2 linked regions of the Yarrowia lipolytica genome follow. The protein of the gene in region 1 purifies or fractionates together with the protein of each later gene. This does not show direct contact. Links are inferred from orthologs where the notes say so. Each region holds a gene or a part of one and is shown on either strand. Other genes may lie near its edges.

The links.
Region 2: the proteins of YALI1_D34487g (region 1) and YALI1_F17988g purify together in Saccharomyces cerevisiae (affinity purification with western blotting; 3 studies listed by BioGRID). This does not show direct contact. The link is inferred for Yarrowia lipolytica from reciprocal best matches to the Saccharomyces cerevisiae genes TOP1 and NSR1.

The regions. Positions count from the first base shown.
Region 1 is NC_090773.1:3,443,629-3,451,386, forward strand, and holds YALI1_D34487g (uncharacterized protein), read right to left. Parts: upstream 5,051-7,758; coding exon 2,270-5,050; downstream 1-2,269. Other genes in the region: YALI1_D34446g (uncharacterized protein), read right to left, coding at 1-922; YALI1_D34508g (uncharacterized protein), read right to left, coding at 6,642-7,148.
Region 2 is NC_090775.1:1,795,658-1,802,206, reverse strand, and holds YALI1_F17988g (uncharacterized protein), read right to left. Parts: upstream 3,389-6,549; coding exon 2,120-3,388; downstream 1-2,119. Other genes in the region: YALI1_F17962g (uncharacterized protein), read right to left, coding at 4,915-5,979; YALI1_F17953g (uncharacterized protein), read right to left, coding at 6,218-6,549. UniProt on the Saccharomyces cerevisiae protein: Involved in pre-rRNA processing. Specifically binds nuclear localization sequences. Candidate for a receptor at the nucleus that may be involved in both RNA and protein transport. Binds telomeric sequences of the type (TG[1-3])n in vitro.

The DNA of each region.
Region 1 (7,758 bases):
TGAAGGTATCGAAAGACCAGCCTGTAAGCCACATGAAGAAGTTGTTTCTTCCTCCAAACAAAAACACAATGGGTACCTGGGTGAAAGACATGATTCCAGTTCGGTCGGCAATGTATCGTGCCAGCTGGTCTCCATGGGCTTTCCAGTAAAAGTTGGGTGTGAACAGATTGTACTGAGTGAACAAGAAGATGAAGGCCATAATCAGGTATCCAAGGACCACGAGAGCCTGCATTCGGGTAGGAGTACACATACTGATGAAGCCTCCCAGATATCCTCCTGCAGGCTGGCAGTGTTTGTATCCCCACAGAGCAGGCATAGAGACATGTTTTCTGAACCTGTGACCCTTGATTTTCTGGTAGAGTCCGAAAAAGGCATGTTTTCCGAGATTAGAGGCCATTCCAACCAGAAAGATTAACATCCACCATGAAAGAAGACCAGCTCCGTAGTAGGTTCCCAGATCCAGTTGTTTCAGGAATTCATGCACAGTAGGAAAGTATTCATCATAAGCAGTCTGATTGAAAGCGACAGGAGCATGAAGAACTGCAGAGGTGTTCTGGTTGGATACGGCATACTTGGTTCCGTTCTCGTAGACCTCCATCATGTCATCCATGGTGAGGTTGAGCATTCCCCGCTTGTTGTAGATCTGGATAATGTCCTTGTCCAAAGCCCGCTTCCATTGCTCATCATCGGGAAGAACGGCACGGTACCAGATGGCTCGAGTCTGAATGAACGGCTTGTTATCCCATCTCGATTGGTAGTAAGCTGCTCCAAAGCCTTTAACAGGCTTGAAATCAAAATTGAACTTGCCAGTAGCTCCCTGAACAGTACTGGTGACGAGAAGGACATGATCACCAGGATGATCTCTGTAAGCAGTTACCAGGGTGACCAGAAAAGCAACGGCGAGAAGAAGGGTGAACTTCATGTTGGTTTTGACGCTCAGTAATCGATCTGCCCTTCCGTCGGCCCCTGTACGACTTTATAAACTGACACAAGTATCCAAGCTCTGGGCGTCACCCATTCCCGTCTTGGCAGGGCCTCCGAGGCTAGGCGCATGCCAAGACAAGGCACCGTGCCTGTCCCCTGATTTTATCCTTCTCCAGAGATTCTTTTGGGTTTTTCAGCTAATCAGATAAATCAATCTTTTCCATCAATAGGATTAGATCGTCATCTCAACCTTGTGTATCGGATGCAACATCGGAACCACGGAACTGAAAATGAACATTTTTAGCGAGTTATGTAAGAGTATACAATTGGGGGGTTCTGCAATATCTGTTCCGGGTTGACCTTGGTGGTCGAAGCAGCAACAGCGCACAATGGTCAATAATATACTCCAGTTGGCACCGTGGTGAAGCTGACCGCATCCTCCGTACACACTACTATACCAATCCCGGTACGTACACACTGGCTTCAGTGATCCTCGCAATTTTTTTTCAAATACTAATCAAACTAAGATGTGATTCAAAGCATCAATCCACATGACAATGTCCTACTTGCAAGTCCCTGGCTGATGGACATGGTGCCAATGCAGTTGATACACACACCAGGGATGATTGGTGATTGGAGGACACTTGTGTGTCATCAACCTGTCACCAGACAAAATTCACCGTCCGAAATCTTGAAAACATCGACCCAAAGAAGTCTACTACTCACTTGTAGTACAAGTACATACTCGTATCGTACCGAATGTACCGAAGTTGTGCCGTATATAACCTCCTCGTGCATTGTCTCAAGTGTACTGCGCCATCTACATGTATGTATACACCTTGTTTTGTAGCTTATTTTTTTTTTTGGTTCTCGCGACTCAAAAGTTGCTCATCAATGGCGCATTCTGACTTTTTGGTAAGATCTTGAGTGGAAGTAATGACTTTTGGTGACCAGGGATGGAACCTGAGACACCGATAGAGATACATATATAGATACAACTCTGGGTCATGACTGGTACTGTGGGTGTGAACCGTAAGACCTCCATCAGATAACATCGTGTGAATGACAGGACTGAGGAGGGCAAAATTCAATCGAATATTACCTTTATACTCAATATACAGCCAGATGGTGGTTCTTGTTTATGCCTCACCTACGGCCAATCGTCTCCATTACGCCAATTTGCTCCGGTCGCTGCTGCATTATTTCCCATTGAATCAATCGTACGACATCCTTGTACCGGTACGAGTACTGTACTGTACCGGGACTTGTTGTCCGTTCCCCATCTACGGTAGGTTATTCCCGTTCTTTCGTAATCTACAATAACTTATCTATAACATACATACAGCTAGAACTCCCAGTCCTCGTCCGCACTCTGAATGGCCCACTGGAACTTGTCCCGTAGGGTCTTGGTGAAGAGCTTCTCAATGGGCACGTCGTACTTTTTGCTGAACTTGACTGTCAATCTAGGATCAATATAGTTCATTTTCGAGGTGCCCAGCGCCACAGACGAGTTGTCTTCCTTGTCCTTGAGCTGCATTCGCATCGTGGTTACCCGGGTCTCCAGCTTCTCTACCTGGGCACGTAGCTTCTCCACAGTTCCCTTACCCTCGACCTTGTTGGATTTGATCTCCTTGAGATACTGCTTGTTAGTGTCGGCGAGGTCCTTGAGCTTGGCGTTGAGCTCGGACTTGGGCTTGGGCTTTTGTTTCTCGGCCACCAGCTTCTCGTTGTCCCGCTCAAACTTCTTTGTCCATCGCTCCGAGTCCTTCTCAAGAAGTCGATTGGCACAAGCAGTCTTCTCCTCCTTGGACAGCTCGTCGAGATCCTCAAACAGCTTGGGCTCCTTCTTGAGCAGCTTTGGTTCGAGATCTAGCAACATTCGCTTGTGACGCCACTTTTGCCACACCACCTCGTTGATTCGGTCTTCAATCTTGCCAACCGACTCGCCGTGCGTCTTGGACACGGTCTTTTGATGGTTACACAGAATGGCAACGGCTCGGTTGGCAGCATTGAACTTGACGAGCTTCTCAGCGACAGTTCCCTCGTTGGGAATGAGAGCCAGCTGGTCATCCATGGTCTTGGAAGCGTTGTAGGTTCGGAAAACCTTGGCGGTGAGACCAGGCATGTAGTTCTGCAGATGCTTATTAAGCACAGAAGGGTCCAGACGGTCAAAGATATCATCTCCAACCTTCTTGGGGGCCTTCTTGAAGATGCGCAGGTTCTTGAACACTTGAGGAGACACTTCGACCTCCTGGTGGTACCGAATGGAGTCCTTACCGAGGAAATCAAACTCCACGATGTTTGGCGGAGAGAGAGTAATGTGTTCGTATCGAAGAGAACAACAACCCACAGTGTCGGCCTCATCGTCTCCCTTCTCTCCTCCAGCTCGCAGAGCCAACACATCAATCAGGTACATGGCTGTGGCTCTCTGACGTTCAAACATGGCCTCTGATTTGAGCTCCTTCTCGTAGTCCTTTCGGATGGTAGCGACGTGTTTCTTGAGCTCTCGGGCTTTCTCAAACTTCTTGTAGTCGGACATTCCCTTGAGAGACGAATTTGCAGCAAACAAGACATACTTGATGGAGTTGTTGATGTTCTCGTGCCACATGGCAAGCCATGCAACCGAATTGTCGTGTCGCACCTCCCCCCACTTGTGTCCAGCAGGAGGCTCGGGCACAGGAACGCCCTTGCCAATGTTGATGGTGATTTGCTCGGGCATGACTCGACGCTTGAGCTTACCAGTCTTGGGGTGGGCTCCTCGGCCACGGAATAGACCCGGAGGCTCGATTCGGAAGTTGCCAACCTGTTCCTTTCGGCCGTTGAGCAGACACACTTTGAAGGGCTCCTCGATCTTGTCTCGCTCGGCCTTGATTGCCTTCTTCTCCGCGGCGCTCATGGCTTTCTTCTCCTCCCGCATCTTTTCAAAGTGAGCGTACATGTCGGAAAAGTCGCACTTGGAAAAGGCTTTGATTTGCACATTGTTACCATCCTTGTCCTTAGCGCCCCCGCTCTCCTTGAGAACCGCCTTGAAGTCGTTGAAGAAGTTCTTCTGGAAAGTCGGGTTCTTGGCGTGGTCGGTTTCCAGCATGGCTCCAAAGAAGCCTGCAACCTCCTCAGCAGCATGGGGGAGCACCACAGGAGTTCCGTCGTACTTCATGAGCACATTTTTGGGCAATGGTTCGTATTCAGGAGGAAACATGACTCCCTTGTGCTCTAGAGTCTCCCACTTGATGGAATCGTCCTGGTTGTCATTCTCCCACCATTTGTACACATCTTCGGCCTCTTCGGTCTCCTCCTTCTTGATCTTGCCGTCGGCTCCGACCGTCTCCTTCTTGATGGTGGTTTTCTTGACCGTTTGCTGTTTCACAGGGTCCTTCTTGATGGTAGTTGTGGTGGTCTTCTTGACAGGGGCCTTTTTGGCATTGGTTGTGCTCTCTTTTTTAACCTTAGTGGTGGTGGTAGCCTTCTTCACCTTAGGAGAAGCCTTAGGAGTAGAGGACTCCTTCTTGACCTTCTTCACTACAGGCGCGTCGTCGTCGTCTTCGTCCTTCACTCGCTTGACAGTGGAGGGTCGAGAGGGAGGCATGAGGTCGTCCTCGTCATCCGAAGTGATGATCCTGGCAGGCATGGTTGTGAGTAGTCGTGAAACAGGTCGGTGAACAAATCGATTAATAGGTCGATTGACAGATCGAATCAGAGGGCGAAGCGGACAAAGAATCGGGACCCGTCTGATCAAAAACACGTTGATTTCTGCGTTTCGCGGCCGTCTGAAGCTGAGAGAGGAAGAAAAAAAAAAAGAGAAAAGAGAGAAGCAAAAGTTTCGCGACGCGCACTGCAATGTATCGGACCTCTCTATACCGCCAGCTTTTAAAGTTGGGCTGCTAGTGTAGCATGATACACTGTCGGAAGCTGTTCTTAGTGCTTCCCCAGTGTCCAGAATGGGTTTAGCGAGAGGCTGGAAATCACAAGAAACGGAGCATTTGCCATTTTTTGTTTTCCCCGGTAAAATTTTGTCTACACCGCTGTGTATTTTCTCATCCGACACCGTCAGCTCACAGCAAGTAAGAGTAACTTTTACAACGCAAGTCTGGAAGCCTGACAGATAGACATTGCCAGTGCATGGCATATATTGTGTTGTTTCATCAGATAAGACCAGATCACGTGATTAGACATAGATTAGGAGCAAACAAACCTACCATTGTCCCCATCAATCAATTGAAATCGTTCCCAGCCCTTCTCATCATCTCATTGCGAACATTCTTCAGTTGTTCTGTCACTGCATGACTTCAAACTTTTTTGGCATTACTGTAGCTAAATGCCCAACACGACAATAGCCCTGCCTGGGAGGAGTGATGTTGTGAAGGGAAGATTCCCGTTGCCGCCGTTTCACCACAGCAGAAGTATTATGTAAGCTGTCTTTGGTTGATTAGTCAGAACAATCTATTTTCCATCTCCCATATCCATACGCATTCTGGGATGTGTGCCACCTCCTCGGTTGCGTTTTACCCCTCAAAACAGTCGCCTGTACGTTATGGTTGTGCCACGTACTCGATTTTGACTATGTTCAAATAAGGTTTCCAGCAGTGGAGGGAGACATAGCAAAATGCTTGTGGAGAGTGATTGGTTGAATATATTCGACTTTGGGGTGTCTGCATCATTGTAATTCTTGTTTTTACACGTGGCTATGTTTTTTCCGCATCAAAATCCCGCCACATGAGAGATTTTCAGTCCTGTTATCCACGTCCATATTTTCGATATGCGCTCAACAAAGTGTAGCCACAGTGCATATTGGTGTGGTGTGGTGTATAGTCTTCCCGTCATACACCAGTGCCAGGATGTGTTATCTGTGGTTGCAAATGGGGGCCCATTATTGGTCCTGTAGCAATGTCCTAAGTAATGTGTCAAGTAAAAAACTAACAAATTTTGTCCTCATTCAGACTTGGATTCGGTGACATTTCGACATCAAGCCGATGGCACAGTGGAATGATGGTTGTTGGTTGTCAAAGACAGAGTCCTCTTTATCCATTGTGAGCGTCTACTTGTATTAAGGAAAGCACTGTTCAATGTCCACCTAATGTGAACCAGCTCTAACTAATCTCAAACAACCTCCAGCGGATGACCGAGAGAATGTAAAGAACCACCTTGGTGATATCATAGTCTCATTACGACAGAGATTGCAGTTGATGAGGGTTTCCTTTACCATGAATGTATCAACAAGCTGTCAAAGTACACAGCTAGCTACGATTACTCACTCCCCCAACCACTACCGCTTTACCGACAAGCAGTACTTGTAGTCTACGAGTACAGTATGTACTTTTCTATCATGTTTGGTTCAGTATTATATGATGTTATTTTCTTTGAGATCTCGAACCGCGACCTGAAAGCACCTGAGCAGATATTGCCCAATGATACCCGCTGACTTACTCTTTCATCACTGAAGCTACAGATGCTATAAGTATGGTAGAGTAGTGATAGCGCAATCAAGTCGACGTCGAGTCCTGGCCTTGTCTCGTCTTCTTGTATTTCCTCGCAAGTTACCCTCACCAAGTCACCCTTACGAGTACGACCTGAATCAGCTGTTGCACCACCATTAGTAGCTCCATTGTCTCATTCTCGAGAAGAACGACCTACGCTGTTGTCCACCCTACCTACGGTCAGTCTTTTCCGCAATTCAGGTCCAGCTTTTGTCCACTCCTGACCTTTCGCCAGTATTACCGTTATTGTATAGCCAACCACTCTGGGGCATAATTCAAGTCAAACTGCAGTTTCGTCTCGAATGTCTCGATAAACTCGACATCCAAGTCTCCCTTGCCCGCCGCGAATCTTGAATACTCGTCAAAGATGCCCGCCAGACACCAGCCCTGCAGAATCTTTCGCATGACGCCCACCAGCACGCCTATTCTGTGCTTGCCCTTGTTGGAGTGCACCAGAATGGGGAAGTTGCGTCTGTCCAGCAGAATCTGAAGAGCCTGTCTGATGGCCTCGGGGTCGTTTTCCACAAAAGGCTCCTTGGCCGAGTTCACATGGAAGTAGTGGAGTGTGATTCCCTCGCTCTTGGCCCACTCAATGTAGTCCTGGTTGTCGCCAATGTCTCTGTCGCCAAAGTAGATGATCGATTTGAGATCCAGCTGGTTGAGGAACGGGTAGTTGATGGGCAGGGGATGACCAGACCGGTATATTCCGTCCGCCACAAAGGCGAAATTGAGTGGGGGTACTAGGACCATGTGTAGAGATGATGTTATGACTTAGGGTCCTTTCAGGCTATTGTAGGTGTTGTGGTGACCTCAGATAGAGGTTAGTAGAAGATCAGAGGTAAGTATCGAGTGTCTGTGGCACTCTTAATCTGTCAGTCGCTCGAAAGACTTGCTTTGCTGTTATCTGGTCGATGTTAGTGGTTGTGTTGTTTAGTTGTTTGGTCGTATTGGAGTCTCACATCATGGCAATCCTGCATCACCATGCACGTTTTCGATTCAAGATGCATGCTTAGTAACGAGTACAAAGAACGACTCCAAAAAAAGTACTGTAGTGAAAGATTGTCAGTTTAGAGTGTCCAATGTGAAAGGGTCACTGCTACCTTTTTCACCATTTCTTCGGTCCAGAACTTGAGATAATAGTTTTGGACCATCTAGACGGTTTTAGTTGAGCTATTGGAGTAAGCTATTGTCATTTAGTCAGATAATTAGTTTAGACATTAGCCGAGCCGACACTAGAGAGAAGAGAAACACAGTGTTCGAGTCCATCCTTGAGGGGTCACGGCTATTACACCAATATTGACGCAGCCCAGGGCTTCCTCTTCTTCTTCTTTCAGCCGTGTATGTTTCACATTTCTATCAT
Region 2 (6,549 bases), on another chromosome or scaffold:
ATATCGTACTATGCCCGGTTTGTTTCCCCCCTCTTCTTCCGATGAAACACAAAAACACAGAGTCGCTTGGTTATCGCCTTGGTGGTGCTGAAAGGTTGTATGCTAAGAGTAGACAAGTTTGCACCTGCTGGGAGAAAAAATCCCATCTCAATTCTAAAACTTTTTACCGGTAGGGTAAATCTGCAGGTGCAAACAAATCCTGTGGGGGGTGGGGCCCTCTGGGGAGTCGCCGAGCAGGAGGAAACCGCATGGACATCTCCTGTGCGCCTTCAACTCTGTCTTGCCGCCGGAGACCCCGTCTCTTGCGACCCCTTTTTCGCCTCTACTGACGTTCTATTCTACCCGTCATCGCCCGTCCTTTGTAGTGCTCACACCTCTTTGCCCAAGGTATTTTAGCTTTGGGACAAGCGTCTGCGACACGTCATTCCAGCTAACCCAATCCGATTGGCTACTTAACGGCCCTCCAGAAGAGCCCACGACCTTTTGTTACATTTGCCATGCGAGGTTCACGCTGCTGAGCACGTCGCATTGTGGGCGGATCCGAGTCGCCCTTGGACAAGAGCTGCCCGGCGCCCCCGCAGCCGTTGGAAAAAACAAGAACAATCGGGCGGCTGCAAACGGCTGTACACGTAAAAAAAACTAGTTAAAAAACTTGTTATCATGTTTCACCCGAGATGAGTGGCTGACCAAAGACAGTTCTGCGGGGGTACAAGTCATGTGATGGAGACAGCTCCCGTGTTTGACAAGGTGAGGAGGTGAGGAGGTGTAGGGGTAAAAGGACACAAGTAAAGCAATGTAGTGTCATATTGTGTGTGTTTGACCAGTTGAAGAGCACGATACTCGCAGTTGCGTGATACACCTCATTATGGACCTCCAGATCACCTTATGGTTCTTTTTTTAAACGCTCATCGCATATTTCACTTGATAATCGTAAAAGGCTGGGCCGAGTATGTACTGATCCATGAAGTCTTGAGAGCGTGCCACCTAACAAGTACTGACACAGTAATTCACGACAAGTACTCGTATAGTACATCCCGTACAGTAATTCTCGTACCACCACTCGTACAGTACATCACGTACAAGTATGTACTCATACTCGCACTGCAGAATTAGCTTGGACAGTCTCACACAGTAATTAGGACCCTGTGACATGATCTTTTAGTAATTCAGTACAAGCATGGCATGGGAACATGTACAGAAATGCCTGCATACTATTACTGTACTATAGATACCATGATTATATGCATCTTTGCGACTTGGGCTGCCTGCAACAGAATCCCCCAAATATGCAGAAACAACTACCTATTCACGTTGTCAGGCGGCGACGATGAAGGATGCGATAAGATGCGATAAGATGCGATAAGATGCGATAAGCATGCATGTGACCTATCGGGGTTCCGAGACATGTCACATTGCAACCAGTCGGGTTTGATTTGTTAGATTGCTTTGTGCTACAGTAGTCCACTTGACGCCCCGGTTTGGCTACCATTCAGCGTGACATCCGGCGTTAGTGTGAATAGTGGCTGGGTTGATTTATCGGGGTTACACGCTCAGTTGATAAAAGAAAAAACAATGGGTTATATTAACGAGCTCAGCTATTCAGCTCTACCACTTTTACCCTTCTAGCACCCTCAGCAGTATGGCAGTATGATGTACGGTGTATGGTAGTGATTGTACGTACACGCCTTCTGCAAAACGTCAGTCCAGGAACGTTTTTACAAGTACAGTATGTACTGTTCTCGCACGACCTTTCCTCCAACCGTAGATTCACAGCAATGAAGGCCATTAGATCAACGTCAGCTCTTCACTTACTAATGTACGAGCGTGTAGATCCGCTAGGTAAGTACAGCAGTACAGTATGTACGTACTCATAGATACAAGTACAAGCATATGCCACTGAGTACTCCGGCCTGTCTATGAACGATATGGTTATTAGCACGCAACAACAGTCTTTGTCCAGTGATCACCAGTAACCGTGCAGACAGAGGGTTATCTCACATGGCCTACATGTTATCTCACATGAACTACGTTATCGTTTCTTTGTCATATCGTTAAGAATAATACAATGCTCTATATGTTAAGTCCTGTTTTTTGGGGGGGGTGTGTAAGTGGGAGATGCTTAGAAAGTAGTCTTCTTACCCTTGAACTCGCCAAGGGGAGCGGTGTTAGCGCCGGTGTTGAAGCCGCCTCGGCCACCTCGGCCGCCAAAGCCTCCTCGACCGCCTCGACCGCCGAATCCGCCTCGTCCACCTCGGTCACCACCGAAGCCACCTCGGCCACCTCGGTTACCGCCGAAGCCACCTCGTCCGCCTCGTCCTCCGCCGTTGAAGCCACCAGCGGGCTTGGGAGAGGTGTAGTCGAGTCGGAAAGATCGTCCGAGGTACTCGTAGCCGGACAGACCCTCAAGGGCTGCCTTGGCCTCGTCAACGGAGCCAAACTGGACGTAGCCGAAACCCTTGGGCTGCTCGGTCTCAGGGTGGGTGGGGAGTCGGATGGAAACAACAGATCCGTACTCGCCAAAGATGCCAAAGAGATCGTCTCGGTTAGTGTCGAAGGACAGGTTGCCGACGAACAGAGTGTCAGCGGGCTCGGAGAGCTGGTCGCCGTACTGAGAAGATCGGTCTCGCTGCTTCTGCTCGGGGGTCTGTCGAACGTTGGTAGAGATATCGAGTCGAACGGTTCGGCCGTCAATCTCCTTGTCCTGGAACTCCTCGACACACTTCTGGGCGTCAGCACCAGAGGCAAAGTCGACGTATCCGAAACCCTTGGATCGACCAGTGGCCTTCTCGGTGATGACTCGAGCGGAAACGGCGCCAGCATCAGCAAACTCCTTGGTGAGCCAGTCGTCGTCAACGTTCCAAGACAGACCGCCAACGAAGACGGTCTTGAACTCGGGCTCAGCGGCAGCCTCGGGCTCAGCGGCAGGCTCGGCCTTGGTCTCGGCCTTGACCTCAGTCTTCTCCTCGGTCTTCTCGTCGTCAGAGTCAGAGTCGGAGTCAGAACCAGAGTCGGAGTCAGAGTCAGAAGAATCGGAGTCGGAGTCAGAAGAGTCGGAAGAATCCTCCTTCTTGGCCTTCTTGACAACCTTCTCCTCGACCTTCTTGTCCTCCTTCTTCTCGTCGTCGGAAGAGTCAGAGTCGGAGTCAGAGTCAGAGTCAGAGTCGGAAGAAGAGTCAGAGTCAGAGTCGGAAGAGGAAGAGGCATCGCTCATCTCCTCATCCTCGTCGTCGGAGGAGTCGGAGGACTCGGAAGAGGACTCGTCCTTCTTCTTCTTGGAAAGCTCAGCAATGGACTTCTCGATGGCCTCGGCCTTCTTGGAAGAAACCTTGGACTTCTTGTCAGTCTTGGAGGGCTTGGAAACGCCCTTGGAAGCAGATTTAGAACCCATTATAGAAATTTTTTGTGTAATGGAGTAGTGTGATGAGGAGGAGAAAGTGCCCTTACTGCCCTTCTTATTAGATTTTTCGCCCTGCAAAATTTCTAGACAAACTTTCCTAAATTTTTTCAATCGGACAAAGAAATCTCATGCACTATATGCACCTCCCTGGAGCCTAATTGGATAGGTCATGTGACTTGGCCAGCCACGAATGGGAGGTGGATGGGCGTCTATGGGTGCGGAAACAGCTCCAGTAGGGACCCACGGGGAGTTCTATGTCGTTCAAATCTCGTTCCAGGCTTCCCAGCTGCCTGCTCGGCGCCAATTCATCTTTTATCGCATCTCTCTTTGATGCTGTGAGGCTCTGTATTCTTTTGTGTTTTTTTTTTATCGATGAAGAAAATTTCCACCTTAAAAACTTGAGGCGGAAAGAAGCTTGTGGATCAATCCGTTTGGGGGCGCCCAAACGAAACGAAAAGAGGTACGGGGCACGTGAGACAAACAGGCGAAACGCCGGGACTCGCTAAATCGACTCCACACGGAATTCGAACAATTTCCCCCGCCTCTGTGTCGCTGTAGAGCCACTTTACATCCTTCTCTCGCATGGTAGCTAATCGCACAGCGTCTGCATGTACCGTATAGGTCGTCTCCGGTTAGAGATGACCCGGCCTAACCACCGTCATGTACGCTGACGATAATGGTGCATGTCCAACGGCGAGAGGGACGGAGTAACAAAGTAAGAAATTTGCCGCGGCGGCTCTCCAAACACAAGAGGTGTCTGCAACTGTGGTACATTACAGACAAAAAGAGACATGATGGCAACCGTGTCTCCGACTTATGCTAGAAGCTCATGGTCTCCCCTGGCTGGCCACAAGTGCTGTCAACTTCTTACCACTCAATTGGATCGACGCAACATTGCTACACTAGCTTTCAGTTAGGTTTCAATGGAGGGTGGATGCTGAGCTACTGCGGCGAATAGTCGTGTGACGGTCTATTCTTTTTTAGCTTGGCCCAAGACAAGATGGCTTAGGTAAGCTGGAACAGTGATGAGATGGAGGTAGGAGCGTGTGCCGTGGAAAGACTCTGGTGGCTGCGAGTCTTCAGGATGGAACATGTTACATGGACACTTTCAGAGAACATTGATGCTGATCGAGACCCTCATCATTACAGGTATTGTACTGCTTCTGATGCTTGCACTGTAATGCCAGCCCTTAGCTAAAGCATCGAGTCTCTTGAAGGTTAAGGCAAACACACTGAAAGGACATCAGTGAACGTGCTCCTTACCATCGAACATGCTCCTTACCATCGAACATGCTCCTGACCATCGAACATGCTCCTGACCATCGAACATGCTCCTTACCATCGAACATGAACCATCCCCAGATTGGAGGTCCTCTTCATCTACATTACCTGTTCGCTCGTGACCTTTGGCCACTCACTACCAAGAAGAAGTATTTTATCCTATCTACACATGTTCCTTTCCAAAGGTCTCATTTCCTCCATGAGTGTCCCTAACAGAGTGTCAACGCCATCGTACCTTAGAGCTGCTTCACGTTGGAACCGTCGTAGGCCAACTCCTGGACCTCCCATCGGCAGTCGATGCCCTCCTTGTTGAATCGCGACACAATCTCCTTGGCGATTGTCTCGAAGTTGTCGGTGGCCAGAGCCAGAATGGTGGGCCCAGCGCCAGACAGACAGATGCCCAGCAGACCCTCGTGAGTCTTGGGGGTAACGGAGGCCAGAATCTCAGGCAGACCGGGGATCAGGGTCTTTCGGTAGGGCTGGTGGACCTTGTCCTGCATGGCCTGATAGATGAGGTCGGCCTGGGGAGGCGATCGGGTGAGGGCGGTGGTGAGAACGGCCAGTCGCTGCAGGTTGAAGATCATATCTGAAGCAGTGTAGGCAGTGGGGAGCACTCCTCGGGCCGAGGCGGTGGAGACCTCAAAGTTGGGAATCACCACAATGGCCTTGATTTCTCGGCACCAGTCGTACTTGATGTGGTGTCCGATGTTGAGAGGAGGCTCGGGGGGTACAAGGCCGGTATCTCGGCCTCCGGCAGGCTCGGGGAGAACCTCAGCAAGGGGGATCTCCACTCGCTCGAGATCAGCAGCAGACAGCTCCCGCAGGTAAGAACCCACAAAGCCGCCCATCATGGCTGCGGTGATGTTGTCGGGATGTCGCTCGATCATGAGACAATAGTCGAGCATTCGCTGCTTGGAGAAGCCCAGCTTTCCGACCTCGTTTCCGAGCATGACACCAGCCACCACAGCCGCTCCAGACGAGCCCAGACCTCGACCCAGAGGAATGGGGTTGTTGACGTGCACAAAGGTGCCCGAGGGGAAAGATCTAATGCCGTTGCATCGCAGAACGTAGAGAGCCACTCGGGTGACAAGGTTGTGGTCACTGTCGAGAGGAACGCCGTCAGCTCCCTCGCCCTCGTAGGTGATAATGCAGTTGTTGGGGTCCTTTCGGTCCGAGGTTTTGGACGAGTCGATTTCGACGTTGATCACGAGGAACTTGGCCAGAGCGAGGCCGAGCACGTCGAAACCGGGACCAATGTTGGCCGAGGACGCGGGCACAGAAATTTCAAACTTTCGAGACATTTGTGGTGGAGTGTGTTAAGTCTCTCTGCGACTGATTTCGGAGTATTCAGTCATTTGGAAAAACTAAACCTTGTTTAGAGACGTGTTCCATGGAGGGTCTGGGTCAACTGGAGGGGCTCAAATGCAACGGAAGCAGTGAAAGAGCCACAAGCACACAAGTACACAAGTCACGTGATAAAACAACAGGATGGAGTCTCGAGAATCCGCCCCAACCCCTCTCTTCTGCTACATCAACTGCTTATCTGTGCCATCCCCCCCCACAGAGCCTAATCAGTTCATGTCTGATGTGAAATCCAGGTTGTGGCTCAAAATGAAAAAAACTTGTGGCGGTGTAGCTGAAACGGTACAACGGATTTGTGGCTTGTGTGGAGTTACCAGGTTGTTGGAGTGTGACTGAACCGCAAGTTTGTCGAAATGCAGCTTGCAAACCTCGACTTTCCAGCACCGGCATCGGCCCCCCGCCCTCATGTGCTTCCACCATGTCTGGTCTCCCCTCGCAATGGCGCCCATAGCCGATGTATCGAGAAGCACCGGTTTTTCGCTCTCTTATTGGTGATGTGACATAATTGC